Linked DNA regions of Lonchura striata. The protein of the gene in region 1 interacts with the protein of each later gene in a pairwise test. Links are inferred from orthologs where the notes say so. Each region holds a gene or a part of one and is shown in the gene's direction. Other genes may lie near its edges.

Evidence for each region.
Region 2: the proteins of PGCKA1 (region 1) and PDCD10 interact in binary tests that used the Homo sapiens proteins (3 or more experiments, as listed by UniProt). The two-hybrid records come from large-scale screens. The link is inferred for Lonchura striata from reciprocal best matches to the Homo sapiens genes PGCKA1 and PDCD10.

Annotation. Positions count from the first base shown.
Region 1 is NC_134606.1:22,248,871-22,252,618, forward strand, and holds the start of PGCKA1 (PDCD10 and GCKIII kinases-associated protein 1), read left to right. Parts: upstream 1-1,383; 5' UTR 1,384-1,511; intron 1,512-1,673; exon of another isoform or gene 1,674-1,790; intron 1,791-3,748. UniProt on the Homo sapiens protein: Acts as a tumor suppressor. Acts as a tumor suppressor for colorectal cancer cell proliferation by targeting KEAP1/USP17/ELK1/CDK6 axis.
Region 2 is NC_134612.1:23,939,774-23,943,521, forward strand, and holds the start of PDCD10 (programmed cell death protein 10), read left to right. Parts: upstream 1-1,094; 5' UTR 1,095-1,160; intron 1,161-1,166; exon of another isoform or gene 1,167-1,295; intron 1,296-3,748. UniProt on the Homo sapiens protein: Promotes cell proliferation. Modulates apoptotic pathways. Increases mitogen-activated protein kinase activity and STK26 activity. Important for cell migration, and for normal structure and assembly of the Golgi complex.

The DNA of each region.
Region 1 (3,748 bases):
TAGCCCACCTCATTAGCCCAGCAGCCATAAGAACAATGATAAAACACCACAGAGCTGGCCATGGGGTGACCTCCGGCCGGGCAGGACGATTAGGCCGGTCCGAGCACACACTGTGCACAGGGCTGCTCACAGCTGCAGATCCGCGCTGCAGGGCAGCCCTCAACTGTCTGCACCTCCTGCCTCCATCACCTTCCCTCACAACGTGGGGGTAGGTTAGCATGACAATCCTTTATTTACTGACCAGAAAGCCTTTGGAGAGTTTAGTGAAGGCTTTGTACTAAAACTTCCTGGCTCTTCAAGTCCATTTTCAGCTAAAACTAATGGTTTGCAGGAGAAAAATATTTAAAATGTGCCAAGGACCTGTTGCAGAGCTTTGCAGCACGCTAGCTCATAGATTGCAAATGATGCAGTCTTCACGTTACGACTTAGTTGTCTGCTCAAGATAAGAATGTCCAAAGCAGCTTTTATTCATTTCTATGTTGGCACATGACGTTTCTGCCCCTGTGTGTGCTGGCTCCCGCAGCGGCAGGCTGGGGCCAGGCGGCGCATCCGAGTCCCGGCTCCGGGCACGGGACCTGCCTGCCCCAGCCCGCTGCTGACCGGAGCTCGATCCCTGCGGAGGGTACGAGGGGAAGCACGGCAGGGCAGAGCAAGCCCTTGGTGATTTAAATCCAACACCCTCCTTGCACAGGGAAGGCGAGGATACAATCCCTGCAAGGCAGGGAGGCAACTGTATATCCGGCATTATTTAGAGTGGGAACAGAACGCCTACTCCATGCAGCAGCCAAACTTCATTTAAGTGCTTCCATGAGGCTTAACACCAATTAAAAAAAAAAAAAAACAACAAAAAAAAAAAAAAACAACAAAAAAAAAAAAACCCACAAAACCAAACAAGCAAACAAAACCAAACACCAACAACCACACCCTAAGGGTATCGAGAAGGCTTTGCTAGCTCTGCTTTGCACCCCCCACGCCCCCGCTGCGACACAGGCAATCTTAGTGCCAGTTCTCTCCCGGAGGTTGTTTCACAGTTTCCAGGTACATCGACATACCTTAAAGATCACACATGACCCAGGTGCTTGCCTAACTTAAACCTCTCCTCCTGTACAGGGAAATCTCTCTCAAATGGCTGTGGCAACAGAACATCTTTCATATCACTTCTGGAAACACCACGTTCAAATCAAAATGACTCCAGGAAAGTCGGCAGCTTTCAAAGGTAAATGTGAGGCGATGCCTGCAAATACACCTCAGAGCTGAGTTTCTCTTTAGAGAATCCCACAAAACAGTGGGGAATAAATGTCATTGCCAGGCAACATGCAACAGAGGAATTTCTGCCAAATCCCTCCAGCACTGTTTGTGATATGGGGAGATTTAATTTAAAGAATATGCAAATCCCAGCATGAATACACTGACAGGCTCGGGCATTGTTGTGGTCGCTGTGACTGTCCCGGAGGAAAGGAATTCTGTGGCACGTGTTCTTCCGCTTCTCCTTCTAACCCCGGCCAGAAACGGTGAGTCCTATCAGGTTTTTATCCAGCTTGCAGGTAAAGGGTTACAGATTATAGGAAGTATTAAATGCAAACTTTAAAGGATTTTATTTTCATCTAGAGTCACATGATGCCTTAATACCCAATGACACTAACTACAGTGTCTCATTAAGAGGTCATGCAAACTCCCAAGCTAAACAAGGCATTCTTACATATTTAACATTCAAATGCAGAAGCCAAGCTAAGCCATGGAAGATTGTAATCAGGAAAAGCTACACTTCCTGATCCACAGAAATGCTACAGGTAGGAAAAGTTCTTTTAAACTTTTAACATTGTGCTTTCTAGAGAAACTGTTTACAGGGTATATTTTGTAATGTCTTTTCTACCTTTCAAAACAATCTAAAATATTATACTGAAAATATCTGATCTCACTTGTTCCACCTGTTGTAGAGTCTGGATTGTTTTTACACTCAGAAATAAAGTTGGCTCAGTGAAAATCCAAAGACAACAATTTTTAAACCAAACCTATTTAAAAACTGATGTTTTAAAATATCTCTTAGTTATTGAAATGGTTAAGTTGGAGTATGTGGGGTAAAGGTGGAGTTAATATGTCTTTCATGTCTGAAAGGAAGGGATTCAGAACTCTTCTAACTTCCTTATATCATGAATTGCACATTGTTTCAGTCACACCAATCCCACTGTGTTTTAACATATTTGACATCCTCAATGAACTTACATGATTTCTAAATTCCTCTTCTAGAATTTGGTACATTTAAAAATAAAATCTTACAAGCAAATGAAAGACAGATGGGGAGTACTACAGTGTTCCATAAAAGGAGAATAAAATTGCAAAATACAGAGTAAGAGGAAAGTCAGTTAAAAGCAGTTTATTTTAAATTGAGAAGTTAAATTGCATTAAAGCATATCAATTTTCACATGGCACAATAAAGTTTCACTGACAATTACTGGCAATGTTGCAGGAGTTAATATTTTTTACTTGCACTGAAGGAGTTTTCCAGTCTACAGCATTAGCATTTTTATCACAAAGATCTTTTTCTCATCCCAATTTGTAATTGTTTTCAGACAGTATTCTAAATACTCCATTTTTAATACCTCTATAGGAATTTAAAGACTGCATTCTAGGGGGTTACAGAATCCAAATTTACTGAAGATCTCTAGTGCATCACAGGATTGTCACAGCCTAACAATTCCCACTGCTTAAAAGCAGCAAGTGTTGTTTATTGTTTTCTTTCTACAATGGTTGGGTGTTGATTGCTGGTAATGTTATTTTTCCACAGTTCATTCTATAAAATACATCTCTTTTTCTTGTTTCCACATAATGCTAGAAAATACCAAAAGAAGTGGAGAATAATACCTGAAGCAACTTGCTTCAGATAAGCTCTCAACTTTCTTTGGGAAAAGAAAGGGGGTTGTCTTTACCAGTATTTAAAATAAATTTGAGTCAAACAAGTTTACCAGTGGCACTTCAAAAAATTGTCATTCACTTTCAGGTTGCCCATCTTGAAACATAGTAGGTCTCATGCTGAGGAGGGCTAGGACCTGAGCACAGCCTAGATCAGCCTGAGCCAGGAAGTGTCTCTTTATCAAACTCGTTGTACCAACGTCCTGACAAGAGTAGCTCCCAACTGTGCCGATGGGAGTGCAGCAATAAACCACTACACTTTAAAAGAACTGCTCTGAGCTTACTATAACTGACTTCTGAGCCTATATTATTTACAAAAATCTATTTAGAAACTGTGGTAGATAAGGGGCTTATTTACTAAGCTACATTTATATCTCGGGAGAGGAACACTGTAGCACCCAGATCAACAGGAAACCACAGGCTTTCACTGAGAAGAGCATTGCATCCAAAACATGAAAAGCAGCCTGCCATGGCCAGTCTCTTCTAAAAAATGCTTTTACAAGTTGCATGTATGATGGTAAACCAGCTTAGTAACTCAGTAGTTAAATTTGTTGAACATTAATTACACAAAGTGTCTTTGTAGGGTGGAAGGTACAATGCATACTGAAGTTACTCTGTCACTGAAAAGAGTGGCCATTGAATGAGAGAGAGACTTCCTTAACTCCTTTCCTAAAGAAAGGAATTCAAGTGAGGCACTTGCTATCAAGCACTCTAGTAGGTTTTTTTTATGTCCACAATTTTACTCTTGGTGCAGAAATTGGTACTGCTCTAATTATTACCTTTTATTCTTTTCTGATGAAACAAACAAACCTATTTTCTTGCTTTGTCACATCAATAT
Region 2 (3,748 bases), on another chromosome or scaffold:
GAAGGAGAAAATTCACGTATGTGTAACAACAATTCAGGTTCAATCCAATCCTGTTTTCCTGCTTTTCCCCAGCCCGAAGGAGGAGATGTGGATGGGTGACACACATCGTCCCTCTGCTCCCACCGGCACCCAACTCTTCCCACCCTCCGCAAGAACTTACAGCCACTGTCTGACAAGTTTAATGCTTCAGCTGCTCATCCCCACCCTCACACTGGGGAATTCGTGTGATTAACATTAGGCAGAAGCGATCAGCATTTTTTAAAAAGTGAGCGTTAACAGCGACACATCAGAAATGCCAACGTAGATCCGAGTTGCTGCCTTTAGTATTAATAGTAAATTTTAATCGCTGACCTCTTCCTACAACGTAATTCGAAGCTTCAAAGCTTACTAGGAGCGGAATCACCCCGACACAGAACGCACAAGTTTAGTTCTTTGAGCGGCCAGCGCTCGGGGCGCACGGACGGACCGCGGCGCTGAGCCGGGACGGGGCTCGGCAGGCGGGAGCCGCCGGCAGGCAGACGGGCTCTGGGAGCCCAGGGCGGGCTGGGAAGGGCTGCCCGGCCGCAGGGACCCGCGGGACAGCGGGGCCGGGCCCCGGGGCACGGCACCGCCGCGCTTCCTTCGCCCGAGCGCAACTCCGCCGGGGCAAGGGCTGCGGGCGCCGGGGAGAGAGCGCGTCCCCGCGCCGCCGCCCGCAGGAGCCCGCCGAGCTCCGGACGGGCTCCGGGCTTGCCGGCAGCTCCTCGCCGCTCATCGCACGTCGGACGAGCGGCTCCGATCCCCAGCGCCTCCTCTCCCGCGGCAGCGGCGCACCCGTCCCTCCTTCCGCCCCTCCGGGGACCCCCGCACTCCGGGGCTCCTCCGGGTGTAAGAGACGAGCCGGAGCCGCCCGCTTTGTTCGGCCCCGCCGAGGGCCGGGCGCACTCACCGGCACTGCCGCCGCCGCCGCGCCCGCTGCCCGGCGGTGCTGCCGCCGCTCCGCGCTCCGCCGCGGCTCTGCCGCGCAGGGCGGGCTGCGCTCGGCTCCCGCGAGCCCCGCTCCGCCCGGCCGCTGTCCCCGCCCCGGCCCGCCCCCGCTCCGCTCGGCATTGTGGGGCTTGTGGTCGCGGAGGGCGGACTACGAGCCCCAGGGCCCCGCGCGCGGTTCCGGACAACGCCTGGTGTGTGGTAACACCGCGGGTCTTCCTCCTCCTCCTCCTCCTCCTGCTGCTGCTGCTGCTCCTCGCGGGCGCTTCCGGCGCGGCGGCGGCGGCGAAGCCCCTCGGGAGCGGCGGGGGCTCGGCGGGCCGGGGCAGGTGAGGTGCCGAGCCCTGCCCTGCCCGGCTCCGGCCGCGGGGCCCGCCGCGCCCCGCGGGGCTGCGAGAGCGGCGGCCGGGCGGAGGGAGCGGCCGAGGGCGGCCCGGCCGTGCGGGGAAGGTGCGCGGCTGTCCCGGCCGGGCGGCGACTCCTTCCTCCGGCCCCGCGGCAGCGCCCGCGCTTGTCCTTCCCCCCGCCCTTCCCGCGGGGCCGCGGCCTGGCCCCGCTCCGCTCTTCCCGGCCTGGTGCTGGTTCGCTCGGCCCGGGCGGGCAGGCGCGGGCCCGGATGTGTTTTATTTTTGTGGGAATTATTTTTAGCTCGTCCTCCCGGAGCGGAGAGCTGTCAGGAGGCTGCGGCGGGCAGGGAGAAAGGGCGCCTCGGCTCCTTTCGCCTTCCTGCGCCAGGGGAGGTGGAGGTTGAACATTAGGGGGGAATTATTCACAGCAGGGGTGATTAGACAGCGGAATGGGATGCCCTGGGAGGTGGTAACACCGCTCCTGGAGGTGTTTAAGGAGAGGCTGGACGTGGCACTCGGTGCCATGGTCTGCTTGACAAGGTGGTGTTTGTTCAAAGGTCGCACTCGGTGATCTTGGATGTCTTTCCCAGCCTAATTGATTCTGTGATTCCTCCTCCGCAGGGGCTGTGCCCCCCTTGGGGACCGAGCAGTCAGGGCTGGGGTGTCCCATTAAGTTGCTCACTGAACTGGTGAGTTGGGTTGGGGTTTTTCCTGTAGCTCGCACATACTGGGTGGCTGAAACCTTGTGCTGTTCCTGTTATCAGAGGAACTAATTCTCCTCTGGTATTTGTTCGCACATTGGAATGTATTTTTGTCCCTTTGGAGCTGTGTCATACCTGTTTGTGTTTGGTAAAGTAATGGCTTCACTTTCACATTCCCAAGGATGTGAAAAAGAAAGAGAAATATTATGCTGTTGTGGTTATATATTACAGCATTCTTGACCTGTTTCAGTGACGCTGTATAACAGTTCTGGTGTTGCTGACTGCTGGAACTGGAGCACAGGCTGTAGGGTCTCATGTGAGACACAGACTGGCTGTATTAGGACAAATTAAAGCACTTCCATTTTGAAGTCCAGAAAAAAAAGCACAGACTGATTAGAAGCCTGACTTCATGCTAGGCTTGGTTTTTGTTTTTTAAGTTGATATGGTTCTAAAAATAGACATCTTGGATTTATCACAGGTCTGTGTCATTTCTGAATTAGTCATAGAACTGCTCTTACAGTAACCAAATGCATAAGCAGTTCTGCTTTGCCAGAGTGAATTTTACTGCAGGTGACTGTTACACGTGTGTGGAGATGTTTGAAAACTGCATTTCTGTTCTAGTGAGAGGCATTTGAAGACACTTTCATACTTCAATGCTGTTTGCTGGTGACATTCCTTTTATTAACTCTGCAGTGAAGCTATTTGGTGTAAGAATCAGTGGGATGTGGAATCAGTTCAGTAGGATGCCTTTTAATCTCTTGCTATTGTTGCTGATTTTAAAATACAGATTGTTATCCTAATACTTGATCTGTATGCTAATCCCAGTGAATCCACCCCTGCTCAGTTTTAAAAAGAAGGAAAGTAATTCTGTAACTGAAACACAAAGCTTTGAAGCTTTGTATCAAATAATCTGAGTTATACAATGGGAAATAATTGCAATTGATAATTAAAATACAGTGGCAGGTAAAGTAACATCTGACCAAAAAAAAAGAAAAAAAAAAAAAGATGTGTTGGTTAGGGCATTTTTTTTTTTTTTAATTCAGGTGACCATTAATGACAGAAACAGAATTGCCAAGACAGGTGTGTGATGTGTGTATAGTTAAAAGAGCATATTCTGCAATTTTTTTTTACTTCCATAAACTTTACAACATCAGTAGTAAATTACCTACACTCCCTCCTCCCATGCACATTGGTCTTACATTTTGATTCAAGCTCTGCCTCTGAATTCAGCTGGAATTTATGCTGTTATTTCCCTTCCCTCACTCTTTCTTCCTGGACTTGAATGGATTTTTCTGGTAACTCAGGGATCTCAGATCAGCTTAAAGCTGAAACCTGTTCTTGAATCCGCCCTGCAAAAAGTGGAGCAAACCTCTTGGCAGTAAGGTAGTCTTTTATATCAGGAATGGAGCCGTGATTTTTGCTAGAAGCCAACCACTGAAATAATAATATTTGTAATCCCTGCCTTGGGCCTTGTTCCTCTGTAGTACTTTTCTGAAAAAGAATATTAATGTCTAAGCACTTACCAGATCTAGGGTAGATGGAGCCTGGAGAAGGGAACAGAGACAACATCAGTGCAGAGGTAGATCTGCTGATGACAGAGCTGAAACCCTGCCAATTGATACCAAATGTTTCTGTTGGTTTAAAACTTGAAAAGTTGAAATCATGAGAGTCTGCTCTCTTTGCTTTAAGCACTGCTTCAGAAGGTTGTGTTACAAACACCCTCCTTTGATGGAA